Linked DNA regions of Schizosaccharomyces pombe. The protein of the gene in region 1 interacts with the protein of each later gene in a biochemical or structural test. Each region holds a gene or a part of one and is shown on either strand. Other genes may lie near its edges. The genes, in order: pcp1, cam1 and kms2.

Region 1 (6,660 bases):
TTATTCTTCTACCTTTAAATTATTATTGACTTTGTATGATTCAACGAATTATAGTAGAGTTACTTTCCACCTACGTCGCATCAAGGGTATAAAACGACTTCATCTTAATAGATATACGTACTAATCAATTTTAGATTGCTAGAAGTTCTACATTCCAACGCCTGGTGAAAAGCGGAATTCGCAGAGTTGGACAAGAAATCCCAAATTATGAAGCTAAAGCTCCGCTGGAAAGGTCATCAACGATTTTTAACAAGGCAAAACTCTTTGGTAGGCTTTATTTGGAGTCCTCTAAAGAATACTTTTTCAAAAAGAAATAGTATTTTAAACAATCAAGTTTGTTTTGAAGCTATTAAATACATCCAAAGGCATTATTTCAGCAGTCAATCGCACCATGTAACCTATCTTCACCAGTCGCCGCTTGAGAAATTGGTGAGTAATGGCGTGGTAAACGAGAACGGAGATTTGACCATGGATTCTCTTTCTCATCAAATATACCTATTACACAAAAATCGCCCCACCTTACCATTAAAACCAACTAACCAGCCTACGAGATTTGCATCTGTTTTGATGCCTCTAGTAAACACTTCTCAAGGAGCTTCTTTACTACTCACGCAACGTTCTCCAAACTTGCGTTCTCATGCTGGACAAATGTGCTTTCCTGGTGGCCGTGTGGAACCTTCAGACGGTTCTCATTATTATGCGGCATTAAGAGAAACTTACGAGGAAATTGGATTCCTCCCTAATTTTTTTACTTACTTGACTACTTTCCCTCCATTATTCACCAGAGATGAAAAGACTGAGATTCGGGCTTACCTTGCGTTTTCGGTGCAAACCTCCCTTCCTTCACTTGGGACAGGTGAAGTGAAAGATTTATTTTACGTTCCTCTCACCTCTTTTTTAAATCCCAAGCACCAAAAGATATCTCGATTTCGTAATACGGATTTGCTTTATGTCGAATTTAACATTGATAAGATTCCAAGAATTTGGGGAATAACAGCGGTTATATTAAATATGTATCTTAATTCTATTTGCCCGGATGCTCTTATCTCAATCCCAAAGTTTTGATTTTACGCTTTAATACCATTACTACATAGACTTAATTAATATTTATTTTTTCTTCTGTTATTAATAGTAATGCTTGATAATAAAGTCAATAAATTAAAATAATTATAGTAGTAGAATTAATTGAATGTTGTTAAAAAAAAAGAGAGTAAAAAACGTAAGTATCCCAGATTAGTAGTTTGCGGTCTTTGCCTTTGCGGCAGCTCTTTGCAATGATTGTTTCAATTGAGCTTGTTTTAGCCACTCATTCTTCATTCGCTTCATTCTTTCAATTGAACAAACAACGATAATTAGACTCTTCAGCTTTATGTGTTTCTTAGATAAATCAGGATCAGGTGAAATTCCAATTTTCTGCAGCATACGTAAATTTATTTTATTGCATGTTTCGTATCCTGTTAGTTGCATTAAAATAAATTTTTTTGAAAAGGCAAGGTCCAAACGAAGAGAGTGCTCTCTTCGACATTTCGATTGAAGATATTTAGTCAACTTAGAGAGTCCCTTTATTTCAGATTCGTATTGCCCTGACTGTGTGGATTGCGGAGTATTTGATTGTAAATTCTTATAGCGTGCACGTAATTGATTATAGTCATCTAACAATGATTTATATTCTTTTCTATTACGTTCCAAAATAGTAGACAGATGATCGATATTGTTAGTCTTAGACTGAAGAGCCTCCCTGAGTGTCTTAAGCATTAATTGGCTTTCGTCGGTAACATTGGAAGTCATCAATTCAGCTTGCTTCATAAAATGATTGTTATAAACCTCTAATTCCTTCTGGATTTCCTTTAGCCTTTCTTCCAGTTCATTTTTATCTTGTACTAAGTTGTTCTGATAATTAAACTGGTTTGATCGATAACTTTCAAGCTCATCGATAAGTATCGAACGTTCTCTTTCTAACCATTTAATCTTTTCCTGCAACTTGGTTGTTTGCTTATTATAGCTGGAAATATCATCCATGAGTAAATTTCGATTTTTTAGTTCATCTTGAAGCGCAAGCTTTAGATCTTCAATCGTTTTCTCAAGGTACTCGATTTTAGAAGTATGTTCAGAAGGATATAAATAGCCATTCTTCCGATCAGGAGAGCTAAAAAACTTTTGGGCAGCGTTTTCCAAGTCATTCATCTTCTCACTAACGTTTCGATTTCGTTGTGCAAGAATATCATGCTTTGTCTCAGTTCCCAATCCAAATTTTTCAAAGCTTCTACTAAGTTCCTGTTCCTTTTTACCAGAAAACTGTACAAAATCATGCCGTAACTCTTGCTTCAACGACCGAATCGTTTGGATTTGTTGATTGACAAAATGTTCAATTTGACTGACTATCTGCAAAATACTCACCGAAGAATAATCACATCCCATCAAAAGGCATAGTCTCTTTTTGACAGCATTTTCTTCTATATTCGCCTCCTCAATTCCCCTATTTAAGTGATGCACAAGTTTATCTAGCTCCATTTTGTCAGATTCTAAATGACGAATTTGAGCAAGCTTGTCGGCCAACTCGCTATTGAGCACATTTATTTCTTTATTTTTCTCAATATCATCATTTGATCCAGATCGTATTTTTCTTTCTTCGAAGAGTTTTTTACTTAATTCGGATAGTTCTTCCTCCCTCCGGTCTAAGAGGTTTTGGGCATTTATTAATTCATTTTTTAGCGAAGAGTATTTTAACTCCAAAGCCTGTTTTTCGTTGCTCATTAATTCAAAACTAGCAGATAGCTTTTGTCCAGCCACTATGGCTTCTTCTCGTTCTTCTTCGCTAACATCTAATTCGTCTTTTACGTCGGTAAGCTGCCGCTGAAGTACTGAAATTTTATCGTTCAGAATTTCCATTAAATTTGTATTATCAAGGTCTTTCGCATTTCCAGATAAATATTTCTTAATGGATTCTCTTTCTTTTTCGAGCATTGCAACTGTCTCTCGTAATGAACTAATGACCAAGTTCTTCTTTTCCAAATTTGAAGTCAACTCTTTCTCTCGATCTTGTAATTTATTAATGGATTCATGAAACCGCCGCAAATCGTTGTCTTTATACTGAAAAGCATTCATCACTTCATTATAAGTTTCTTCTTTATCCTTAAGCTTATTTCTATATTCATCAATAGTACCGTTTAATTCAGAAACGTTGACTTCGTATGACTTGATACGTTGTTCTAACTCATTTATTAAACGGTCTTTCTCTTTGGTAATAGAGTCAATCTTCAAAGTTAAGCCTTCATTTTCCTCCCTAAGATCGTGTATCTCGTTTAAGTCATTAGAATTCTTCATTCTAAGGGTTTCCAGTTCTTTAGTGACTTCTTGCAATCGGATATTCGTTTCTGCAAGTGCTTTATCTGAATTTTTAGAGGCAAGAAGACGTAAATGATTCTTCTCTTCATCTATTTCACGATTTTGCGTACGTAAAGACTCAATTTGGTTACCCAACGAGGAGGTCATCAACCGTAAACTGTTATTGTCATCTTCCAAAGTTTGGAGTTTGGATTCTAGCACGTCTCGTTCTTCTTCCAAGCTTCTAAATTGAAGCATAATATCTTCAAAGTTTTTACCTTCTTCGTTCATTCGACTAATTTGATCATGTAAAAATTCGATTTCTTCGTTCGCTTTGTGTAATTGTTCTTGAAGGGTATGTACTTGCATGGAATCTGTCAAACCAATTGAGGCCTCGGATTCATGCATTATCTGATTTTCTTTCTCTTTTTCGAGATCGGCAGTAAGCACTTGTATTCTATCCGCAAATTCATCACATTTGGCTTGCAAAATCGCATAGTCTTCTTGAAGATGTACGTAGCTTGAATTCTCCTCATTTTCAAAAGCTGAAGAGCTATTCTCCTTTTCCTCAATCTGTCTTTTCAGGGTGGCAATTTCGTCTTCTTTCTCAGTAAGCAAATCTTGAGCAACATCTAGCTCTTCCGATAATTCATCAAGCCGATTTTGTAACTGTCGTATTTCATATTCATAATCAACTTCCTTGTTACTTTTATCCTCTTCCATCTCTGTAGATAAACTGTCTTTTTCCCTTTGAACTTTTTCCAAGGCATTCTCCAAAAAACGAATGCGCTCCGTAAAAACTTTTACATTCTGGGATTGCTCGACATCATTAACCTTAGATAAATAATCGACCTTCTCTTCTAATTTGAAATTCTTGTCTTCAGACTTTTGAAGTAAAGATTCAGTTCTCTTAAGCTGAAGCTGTAAGTTTGCTCGTTCGGCATGCAACTCAACATTGTCTTTGACAGCTTCTTTTATCTGTTCGGGAGCCATAGACTCAAGTCGCTTTTCCAAACATACAATTTTGATTCGAAGTCCAAAGTTTTCTCTGCTAACTTTCTCAAGGACCTTTTCTTGCTCACGAAGAGTAAGGGCGGCATTTGCAGGCAATTCTCCATCTGTGTGATCTATTTCGGAATTTTTCGAGAGATCGGTAAGCTTGGAAACGTCGTAAGAGTCATTTCCCTGACTGATGCTCAAAGCTTCTTGAGTAGCTTGTTTAGATATAGCAGATAACCCGTAGGAATTAGGGTCAAAAGAGCCTTTATCGCCCAAACTCCCGTTGTATTTATCTGAGTTTTTATTTGAAGACTGTAATAATGGAGTAAATTCCAAACTACCTTTTGGTTGATAAGAGCCGTTGCGCAAAGGCGTCTGGAAAGATGATTTATCATTAAGGTACGAACCACGGAAATCAGAATAATCATCGTTATTATTTTTGAGTGATTTCCCCAAAAAATCAGATTGGCTGATCACAGAATTCGCGTTTTCATCTTTAAATTTGGGAGATTGCGTATTAAAATCTCGTTCAGACATAACGTAACTGCGGATGCATGTATTTATTAAAATTATCCACCAACTAGCGCAAGTGCATAAAATTATATAGAAACTACTTATTCTGGCAGAATCATTAAAAAGCAAAAATGTTGTTGATTGTAGTTTGTTTACAGTCGTCAAATGATCAAATAAACTACGAAACAGCTCCCTAATATAAGTAACAACATATCGTATACTTTCGTTATATCTTGTAAGGATGCTAAAAGTCAAAAGGCGAGATTGTAGATATGAAGGATTATCGAATGTAAAACTGCCTTGATATGTTTATTGTACTCAATACAGAATAGAAGAGATAGGAATTTTATTCGGAAGAAGTATTTGGTGCTCATTTATTTATGTATAAATTGATAAAATCATCGATAGGGTCCAAAACGTAAACATGAATCTAAAAACAACTCAGATAAGTTTCAGCAACAAGACGAGCTCTTCCGTTCAAGAAAAGTTTCATCTCACTAATTTCAGCGTCAACTTCCTCCATAAACTCAATAATGAAATCAACTAATTTGTGCTTAAGCATTTCCTCAGTATGGTAATTAGTTATAAGAAAGGAAATATCATAGCCCTATAACAAAGAAAGGTTAGTTTGATGATATTTACAAATAGCAATGGCAACTTCGAAAAAGAAAAAAAAGAAGAACTATACAATGGCTGAGGCAGAACAGTGAACACTTAAACTAACGCAAAATCTCTAGAAATTCTTCCCTTGAACACTTTTTTGCCAATTACAATTTGTAATAACGTACCTGAACAGGTTTGCGGCGCAAAATAAAGAAAGATTCTGCACGACCCATTAAAAACTGCATAAATTTGCGCACAAGAATTCGTTCAATTTCATCGACTTGTTTAATACGAATGCTGAAACGAACACTAATTTCATAAATGCATCAGTAAAAAAAATCCAAATAATGAGAATGACTTTCAAAACTCCGTTATTCCAAATCGAAAGATCAGTGAATGTACCAGTTCGAATCGGAAACATCGGATGCCTAAGACATACCTATTAACAGAGCTCTCAATCAAACACTGTTCTTGCTCATTACGAGAGACCACCAGGGGCTTTAGTAGAATTTCAGGAGACCGTCCAACCTCAACTTCCGGCTGACTCTGGCGTTCTACAATTTCTGATGAGAATTCCTCTAATGCTAAAGAAGCAGTCAGAGTAGAACGAACTGCGTTTAAATAAGGTCTTAAGGTATTAGACTATGCCTTCGTTAATAAATCATATCTTTTTATAACAAAAGAATTCCTCTCTTACCATAATTAGAATCTATGGAGTCAGTCTCCGGGTTTGGTTTTGTGCTAACACGTAGTGTCAGTGTGATATTGCTTAACGAGTTTAGCGGCACAACCACGCACGCTGCGTGGTGTTACCGAAAATGAGTATATAGCTCGTTACTGTATGGCCTTCACCAAGTACCAGCAACATATATAATAAGTATAATTTGCAAAGAATTACAAAAAAAATTATATTGGGCTTAAACAAGTATTTCTTTCATTAATTACAAAAACCATTTATGATGATTCCCATAGCAATTCGTTGGCAAGGGAAGAAGTACGACTTAGAGATTGAACCTAATGAAACAGGAAGCACCTTGAAACATCAACTATACTCGTTGACACAAGTTCCTCCGGAACGACAGAAAGTGATTGTCAAAGGTGGCCAGCTTAAAGACGATGTTTTGCTTGGTTCAGTTGGTATTAAACCAAATGCAACTTTATTAATGATGGGTACTGCAGGCGAACTACCAACAGCTATGCCCATTCCAGCTGTCGAGTCAG
Region 2 (4,498 bases), 1.8 Mb from region 1:
CTTAGTCGTAATGAACCCAAATCATCATAAGTGATATCTTCTGGTAATAATTCGTGAAGCGTTTCTACAAATTTAAATTCATTATTCCCAATATTTTTGATAATTAGAGAATTATCATTTCCATTCGACATAGAGCTATAATTAATTTAGTTATGGTAATTGCTAACCCTTGATTCCAAAGTGTTATGTAATACAGCGCAGTATAGAACTCGAAGCTTTTTTTTTGGCAATTTTAAAGAAGAAAATTTCGTATAGTTAGGTACAAGTTTTCGACGGCGAAGGGATATACGAAACCATATAGCGGGTGGTTGATGGTGAGAGGAAGTTAGGTTGGCTTGAATAGCAAGTAGGAGGACATTGAGGTTTAGAACTGATAACTTTGTAAAAACTTTTTGAATATATATGTACCATGATGTTGAATTTTAGATAAGTTTTAACTTCACTAACTTGAACTTTACCGGCGCAGAGCCTTCCTTCTTAGGAAATGTCCATATTCCAATGATGAATTTCTGTTTACGATCGGAATAACTACGTGAAATGCAAAAAGAAAATAAACGATGTCATTTATGAATTTATGTTTAGTTAATACGTATAGCTTAGCTTCGACAAGTGCCGCACAAAATTTCATACTGAGAGATGTATTTGTATAAAGTAATGTATTAAGTACAAAACAAAGCGTATATCTACCAGAGTGAGAAAACGGCTTCAAGAAGTGCATATAACTAGAAAAATGCTAAAAATTTTAACATCGACTAGTATAATGAACAGTAAATCTTGAAGGAAAAAAGAAAAGGAAGATTGAGCTAAATAATGGGCATGGGAATTGCAAGGACATAAATGCAACGTATACAGCGAGTACTAGGCACATACTAGTACGAGCAAATGCATCATATAACAGACAGATGAAGCTTCTAATAATTCATTGTAGGATGCAATAATGCAAAAGTGCGTGGTATTCTCATAGCAATAACGTATATGTTCCCAGACTTAAGGATTCCTTTATGTGTTGAAACAAAGGAAGCGTTAAAATTCATAGGATCGATCATGAGATGAATGGTAACAACAAATGCTACCATAGTTACTTTTGTGACACACCTAGGCCAGCAAAATAAACAACCAAAACGTTGTAATACACTAACTAATGTTTTTCAAAATCATAGACGAAAAAAAAAGTAAAGGACAATAGCCGAGGTTAAGTTGGTAAAGAGATTGTCCAAATTGCGATGGAGAGTGGTTATAAAGAAGAACTAAAAGGGTGGAAACCCCAGCAAGGATATTTTGATTTTTTTAAGGCTTACAAATATTCCACAGAAATTCCAACCCTTCTACTTGGAAGAAATGACACGAGAGAATTCTTCGTAGTTGATTACACCATCGCCATCGGTGTCGGCTTCACGTATCATATCGGCTACTTCTTCTTGAGACAAACGTTCACCAAGACTTGTAAGCACATGAGTCAACTCCTCGACTGTAATGTATCCATTTCCATCTTTATCGAAGACTTTAAAGGCTTCGCGAACTTCCTCTTCGTTGTCGGTATCCTTCATTTTTCGGGCCATCATAGTCAAAAATTCGGTAAAATCAATTGTGCCATTACCATCGGCATCGACCTCATTAATCATATCTTGTAATTCGGCGGCAGTAGGCGATTGACCTAACGATCTCATAACTACACCCAATTCATTGGACGTGATATTTCCATCCTGATCACGATCAAACAGTGAAAAGGCTTCACGGAATTCTGCAATCTGCTCATCTGTAAGGTTACGGGTAGTCTGTAATAATGTACGATACGGTAGACGACTTCAGAAATCATTTTCTGAGTGTCATCCGTTCATACGATTGTTAGTCAATCTTCAAAGGAAAAATCGGAATATGTCCAAACAATATAATAAACATACCATTTTCTGGTAAAAATCAGTAACTCTAAAGTCCTTCTATTCCTTTTTTTAACCTTTATTTTTGGCGGTTAGTGTTTTGCTCTAGTTACGTTAAAGTGCCTTGGAGAAATGAGGACTACCGTTGTCGCTTCCTAATGTTGCAAGTCCTACCATCAACAGTGATGTCAACAAACAATGAGAGTTTATTACATTATCGTATATGCTCTAACAAACCAGTAACGTACTTGCTATAAACCGCACTAAAACCACTAAACGGCGGATGAAGGAACTTTTTCAATGTCAGCTACGCATTTATTGGTATCTATTTAACGACACCTAGAACTGCCGTGTGGTTTACTTGTGACCTATTGTATTATGGTACACAGGTAAATACATTTAGTAACTTAGAATGATATTCTGATATAGAGGTTATATTGTTACCTATCACCGAATTAGCATAAAAGTGAATAGAGAAACGAGGTTTTGTTTATTTCAATTCATAAAATTTAAGCATTCTATTATTTTTTTTGTTATTCATTTTATAACTCTTAGTAATCTACCTAAGTAACTTATCATGTACAGCTTGACAGAGCAAATCAAACATGTGATAATTAGTGATACACAACGTAGTATGCTATAGCGCAACGGAACGTTGTCGACATTCAACTTATATATCGTACTCGATGTTTAAATCGCAAAAGGATTTAACAAAAAATATTTGTAAATGCAGTATTTGGAAATGGTTATTACAGCGCAATTTTTTGCTGAATGTAAACAGAAAATCGTGTTTTTCACTTTCCTCTATGAGGTTGAGTTAGTGATATTATTATTCATGATATGAAAATATTGTTTTCATTTTGATTTATGGAAAATTAATTATTGAGCAGATTTACAAACACTGTCACGGTTTAAAGTCTCCAAATAATTGAGCAAAATGACATAGCTTTGAAAAATTTGCTAAACAAAAGCATTTTTGATAAGTGCAGTTCATTAAAAGGTTTTTTTGCACGTTTATTATGAATTGCATTTTTGTTGTGTAGCATAATCTGCTTTTGTATTTTTTGTATATGCCAATTTTGATCTGATAATTTTTCTAGTTGAACACTCAAATGAAGAAGGAAAACTGAAAAAGTAAATAACAATATATTATTCAAGCAGGATTTCATTGCCTGTATATATTTCGATATTAATTCTTTTCTAAATGATTTATTCAATGTATAAAAATCCAGAACCTCAACATCTGATACAATGACCGTAGCCGAATTTATTGATTTTAGTCTGAACGGATATTTTAATCGAATAAACAATATTTGTTGTTATTGATGTAACACAAAAAAAAATAAAAAAATAAATTCAAATTGAGCATTTTTTTGTCTTTAATAATCATAAATTTAGACGTCTTTTGTTTTTAAAGATTTTATAGTTTATTCTCATAATTTTAAATTTTTGCACTTCCTGTTTAAAGACATCTCTACAGAATGACCATGAAAATTTGAGTATAATTCCTTAAAAGATTCAAATTTATAAATCTCAATTGATTTAATAAAATGCTGTGAAATGGGAAGTTTAACTTTTAATAATTCGAGGTACTCATATCCTTCATAGAAAAAAAATAAAAAAATAAAAATAAAAATAAACATATAAAAAATAAAATAATAAGAATGATCGAGAATTTAAAGTATTTATTGTTGAACTCTATCAGTACGTGTGTTTGAATATTTTCCTACTCAATTCATCTCGTAATTTTGTTGTGCAACTACAATAAATTCCTTATTGAACCACATACCTTTTTAGTAGACTGTAAAAACCATCAAGTGAATTCCAAATGGATAGCTGGGGTAAGCTATATATGATTCTACATGTTTATTAACTGAAATGAAGAGGACTTTTTAGTAGAAGATCCTGCAAAGCCTGCAGAGTTTGATTTCCCCTTAGGGAAGGATAGTCAATCCTCTTCCAAGCCAAAAAAGAGATTTGACGACGAAGAGGATGAAGATGAAGAAGAAAACAAAGAATCCTTGCAAAATGATTCTCATTCAGTATCCCAAAAATCCTCTTCATCTAGCCAAAATGATCAAGGCTCTAACAAAATGACTCGTATCCAACAAAAAATTCAGGAAAGAAATTTCGAAAAAGCCATTAAAGCAAGTGAAGCAGCTGCGAAGGAAGAATCACTAGAAAGTTCCAAAGAAGCTATGCGACAAGCCGAAATTGACTCTGACTTGGCAAATGCCATGGACTTGTTTGACATCGTTGATAAAAACTCAGCAAGTGCAAACCGCTCCAAGCAAGCTGATCAACGACAACTCAAAACAAAAGCCGACTATGCAGCTTTCCAAGCTGATATTTTGAAGAAGGTTAAAAATTGTCAAACCACTGCCGAGTATAATAATTTTGTGCAAGATTTAATCCCTTTATTGCTTACCGGCCTTAATGCTACCAATTTGAAGGCAGTTCAGAAATCAGTGAATAAACTTGTAGTCAACAAAGAGCAGCAAGAAAAAACTCAATCTAAGAGAGGTGCCGCTGCTCCTGCTGCCAAACCAGTATCAACTGCAGCTCCTTCTAAGAAAGGAGGAAAACCTACGGTCAATGTTAATTCTAAAAAAACCGTTGCT
Region 3 (4,993 bases), on another chromosome or scaffold:
TTTCCAAACGAACGCGATTTTCCTCATCAATACCTTGATCATCCAAATTCCCTTTTCCTTCCAAACCCGGAGATTCCTTATTCTTTCGAAGCATCTTCTCCTTATAAGCACTCATTGATTTCGATTCTCGTTTCGGCAATGTTCGTGAAACGGCTGGAAATCCCCTAGCATGCCGCTGAACTGACCTCTTCACTTCAACAAGTTGCTTCGGCGGTTTTTCAACAATATCACCTATCACATTTGAGAATACACTCCTGTGATTCTCCATAGCGATTGAATTTTGAAAATATCTGCTTTTTGTATGTAGATGTTTCCTTTTTATAAGAATTTAAGGGTCAATTTCTTCAAACCTCACGAATAAAGCCCTCTGAGATAGTATTATGAGATTCTGATTAAATGAATAATAAATACTTCAACCTTATGAGTTTTTTCTCCCTTTCACTATTTACATACCATTTGGTAGATTGCAGGGATGGTTACGTTTTCTCTCATTTTCTTAGCTATTTTGCGCTCACAAAATAACGGTACATCTCACTATATATGATAACGTAACTGTAAAAATTGATTTATTGTATGGAAAAAAAACTAAATGTTTACATGATATGAAAAATGGATGGTTTTTTCCTTTTTTAATTCAATACTTTTCATTTAATATTAAAAGTGCATAATAAATAATTAATTCGTGAAAAAGTTTTCTAGTTATAAAAGAGAAATTATGAGAAAGATAGTATCCGAGTTTAATAGGACTTGGGCTATCCTTGAAGATTAAAGAAAGAAAGAAGTTATTAGAAGAAACGACATTCATCCAAAAAGAAAAAATAGAGAACAGAAAAATGAGTGGCGAGTAGAAGATTAGACAAGAAAAGAATGATAAACACTAAAAATATTTCGTCTCAGAGAAAATATCTTAATTCAAACATAAAAACGAAAAACGTCGCTTTAACCCTTTTTCATATGACACACCTAAAACCAAACGCAGATGAGATGCGACTAATTATTAGCTCAATGTAAACTTCTTGTCCGTTGCCTATCAGGCGAAGAGTTAGAAGATACAGATCGTCTTGAATTGAGCAGAGCCCCATAAATACATCAATTATTCCAATATACATAAATCTTGAATCAATGTTCAATTATAGCAATTAAGTTTGGAATCCGTGCTTTGAAAATAAAAATTGGATTAAACTTGAATCTAAGATTCATGTCGGAGACCAACGATTGTCGAATTTTGTAGATGGTAACCAAAAAAGAAAAGGCCATTGTTGAATTGTTGCAACATGAAAAAACAAAAAATAAAAAATATGAATTCCGATGATGAACAACAATGAAAAAAATAAGACACGCAAAATTAAAGAATTGGGGAGTGAAACTTTGGAAAAAGCATTAGAGAGTATGGTGGAGGGAGATAAAAAATCTTTGGAAGACTTCTTTTTTAAGTTTTCGAACTTCTTTAACAGATTTTTTTGACTTTCAAGTTCTGATGCCAGTAAAGAGAGACCAGCGGCAAATTGGGAATCGTTCAAAGTCTCCGTTTTAGGGATGTAAGGGATGTGAAAGAAAGGGCTGGGAAAAGTAATTTTTAGATTTTGATACGGAGGGTGATTTTGGAAGGGTTGAGGCGCCTTTTCCTTAAAAAATAGTCTCAACTGCTCGTTTTCCAACTGAAGATGTGCAACCTTTTCTTCTAAAATCATGTTTGACTCCATAAAAGCGCCTCTTTCTTTTTGTTCCGACAAAGATTCTTTCTTCATGTAATCTGTTTCCTATTAAACAAATTAGTAAACTGGCTTGTCTCTACCTCGAATAAGGCATATTCTTAAAAATCATACCGTTTTCCTTTCCTTTTCTACAGCATGGATTAGCTCTTCCATTCTCACAATATGGGCTTGCTGTTGCTCATACTCTTCATGAATGGTTTGTAATTGAGCTGCATACTCCTTAGAATCACGAAGAGCTTCACGAAATTTTTTCTCCCAGGTTTTCGCTTGGGTATAACAAGACTTGCAAGCTTCTTCCGAAGAATCCAATTCCTCCAATAATTTTGCATTTCGCGCGTTTAGTTCTTTAACTTGCTCGTCTTTAGAACGTAATTCTGCCGCTTGAAGCTCTATCCTTTCATAAAGCTGTTGAATTAAAGAATCATCAGCATTTTCCTTGTTTATATGAGAAAATCCTTTATTTGATCCATATTCATTTTTAGTTCGAAACATTGACAAAGGGGTTGAATGACTCAAAGGTGATCCTTTTCTTGGTGTTATGTAACTTGCGTCTTGATAAAACATATCTTTTCTCTTTATTCGATTTTCTGATATTTTTTGAGGCTTCGCTACACTTTTTCTTGGTAATACCCCATTCTCGCGCAAAGCTAATTTGTTTACAGGAAGGGTATCAGGGTCAAGACCAGTTAACTCATAAAACAAATTCTTAATTTCACTCGTAGACACTACAATCTCACTGTTATCTTTTATAAAATCTTGGGCCGATTGTCTTTGCTCATTATCAAGCAAAGGGGCCTCTGGATTAAGTCGCAATGCGTCAACATCGTCGACAATTTCTAAAAATGCTTGAATGGAAACCTGTCGAAAATTAGAAACTATTTTTCAAGTAATGAGAAATTACTTTTCCTGTATAATCTGGGTCGTATTGGCGCACAATATCGTCAAAAGGGATGTATTCATCCATTTTGATTGTTTATTGACATGTGCTTTGGTTAAACAGAATTAGTATAAAGGCAGGTTTGTTAACGATAACTTGTGCGATTTTCTTATTTTTGTAATGTAATGCAGAACAATACGTTATAGAAGTTGCCTTAAAAAAGTAAACAAAGTGCAAGTCAAAACATAAACAGGATATTTTAGCAAAATGTTGCAGTACGAAATGTATAAAATTGTTAGCAAAATCATCTTCAAAATAAATTATTTTTTACTGATTGAGTTAAAGTGGAAGGAAAGCTTTACACTTACCTTTTTTTAAAAAACAAACAAATAAATAAACAGATAAACAAATGTGATCCGTTTCTTGAATCTAGATTTACTTAATTGAAGTAAATAGACTACTTAACTTAGAAAATTTACTACAATCATAAACAAGTGAAATTCTGCTCTCCTTTATTTTACAACGATGCACAAAAAGTTAGTCAGCGTTCCGACTAATTGGCGGTAGTAGAAATAGTAATTATACAAATTCTTTAAAATTTTCTAAAAAGTATATTAGTATCAAATTTTTCTTTTGACTATTTCACTGATTATGTTAGGCTATGGATTAATAGCTATTGAACTCGGTTTTCTTTGCATGGAATAAGCAAACTCACATTAAAAGTTGGTAAGTCGTTTTTAAAAGAGATGAAAAAGCTTAACTGTGACGATTATATCTCCTACTTCTCTATTCAATTACTGACAGCTTACACATAACAATGATAATATGGAGGATCGTGTTGCTTCAATGGTGCAACGATATTTTATTTAGGAATTTCAGTAATCTAAAACATACTTAAAAATAAATAAATCTAAACTATAAGCTTATCGAATTCCCAATACTCGTTCACTAGTACACGGAGTCTTTGTCTACCTCTCCTTAACCAAACTGTTGAAAGCTGAGAAACCTGTGAAACTATTTCTAAAAATCATTCAAACTAGGACTTTTATTGAACTTATGCGGTGATTGAAGATCCCTATGCAAATTGTAGGCTATTTGTCTGCAGATTCGCAGAGTAATCCTGATTTAAAATCCGAAAATGAAGCAAAAGAAGAAAAGCCTATTGGGAGGAGACACACAATGTCACCAGTCCCTGCCACATCTGAAAATAAATATTTTGGCAAATCTCCTTTGTCAGGGTCTCGTAAACCTCGAAGAAGCCGATCACTTCATAAGGAACGTAGCTACATGAGGAAATTCTTTGATATGGATATGGAGGAAAGCAAAGACTTTGAAAATGATCAATCTTTACTAGTAACGCTTAAAGTATCGACTTCCTTGGGTCAAAAAATTGAGAATATATTACACCCAAAACTCAGCAATGATACCAACTCAACTGCCTTTCCGCCTGCTAAGTCGTCGGGAGAAGCATCAGATACTAATATTTTAGTTGAGAATATTAATTCACAGGAAACAGTTAATTCTTCCCCCCTTGTTTCCGAGTTACATTATTCAAACTTAGCAGATTCACCTAGTAATCTGCGAAATACTGTCACATCCATGCACCCGTTTTTCATGTCAAAGTCTGTGAAAAAGAATTCTGAAATCAAATTTGTAAGTGAAGAAAGAGGCGGTACTAAGCCAGAGAGGTTACTTGATCCATTATGGCCGACACCCGATTCCCAGAGTATGTTAGAGTATGCCGGCTCTATTGAGCCGAGTGTTTTCTGGTTTCCGAAAAAGCATTTAGAAGAAGCCATTTTAGAAGAGACCTCTCATCTTTCGTTTAAGGAGGTTCTTTCCTCCACCACCGCGAATATGATAACCCCATTAGCTGAGAAAAATAAAACAGAAGTATTACAGGTTACTCCTTCTAAACTTCATACTTTTGCTTTGGAATCGTTGTGCTTTTCACCGGCTCCTTTTATTCAAAAGGTTTTGTCAAGACTTTTGCCATCAGATCCTAATGTTGAAATGCCAATGATCCCACAAATATTAGAAAAAGGACTGTGGGTGTCAAAATATGCTCCATCTAAAACACAAGATTGCTGTGCGTTCTCTCAATGCCTTTCGAAGATAGCGGATTGGCTAAGGTCATGTAGGTTGACCAAACCTGAAAGCTCATCTGTACCTCCTTCATCTTCTATATCTCGATCCTCGACTATTCATTCTTGTACATCTTCTAAAAGAAATGAAGATTCTCTTTCGGAAAGTGACTTTGAACCGGATATCATTGAAGAAGAAGATGATTCCGACGAGTTCAATCCTTCTGTGTCGCGTAAAAAAGCAAAGCTTACATCTTCTCAATTTTCTAACTGGATGCTTGTTACTGGTGTTACGGGAATAGGAAAGACTTCATGCT

What was found.
Region 2: the proteins of pcp1 (region 1) and cam1 form a complex in vitro, tested with the Schizosaccharomyces pombe proteins (2 studies listed by BioGRID).
Region 3: the proteins of pcp1 (region 1) and kms2 form a complex in vitro, tested with the Schizosaccharomyces pombe proteins (one study listed by BioGRID).

What each region holds. Positions count from the first base shown.
Region 1 is NC_003424.3:3,253,306-3,259,965, forward strand, and holds pcp1 (gamma tubulin complex linker, pericentrin/kendrin Pcp1), read right to left. Parts: upstream 4,976-6,660; 5' UTR 4,861-4,975; coding exon 1,234-4,860; 3' UTR 1,096-1,233; downstream 1-1,095. Other genes in the region: pcd1 (coenzyme A diphosphatase), read left to right, coding at 208-1,065; ARP2/3 actin-organizing complex subunit Arc4, read right to left, coding at 5,267-5,443, 5,625-5,748, 5,879-6,081, 6,137-6,139; ubiquitin hydrolase Ubp6, read left to right, coding at 6,396-6,660. UniProt on the Schizosaccharomyces pombe protein: Spindle pole body component that binds calmodulin. Overexpression of pcp1 causes the formation of supernumerary SPB-like structures and disrupts both mitotic spindle assembly and chromosome segregation.
Region 2 is NC_003424.3:1,442,336-1,446,833, reverse strand, and holds cam1 (calmodulin Cam1), read right to left. Parts: upstream 1,985-4,498; 5' UTR 1,905-1,984; coding exon 1,902-1,904; intron 1,776-1,901; coding exon 1,326-1,775; 3' UTR 501-1,325; downstream 1-500. Other genes in the region: GARP complex subunit Vps53, read right to left, coding at 1-131; tif310 (translation initiation factor eIF3j (p35)), read left to right, coding at 3,706-3,718, 3,762-4,498. UniProt on the Schizosaccharomyces pombe protein: Calmodulin mediates the control of a large number of enzymes, ion channels and other proteins by Ca(2+). Among the enzymes to be stimulated by the calmodulin-Ca(2+) complex are a number of protein kinases and phosphatases.
Region 3 is NC_003423.3:646,311-651,303, forward strand, and holds kms2 (protein Kms2), read right to left. Parts: upstream 2,710-4,993; 5' UTR 2,680-2,709; coding exon 2,617-2,679; exon of another isoform or gene 2,574-2,616; coding exon 1,827-2,573; exon of another isoform or gene 1,761-1,826; coding exon 1,197-1,760; 3' UTR 626-1,196; downstream 1-625. Other genes in the region: rba50 (RNA polymerase II-associated protein), read right to left, coding at 1-268; DNA replication factor C complex subunit Elg1, read left to right, coding at 3,670-4,993.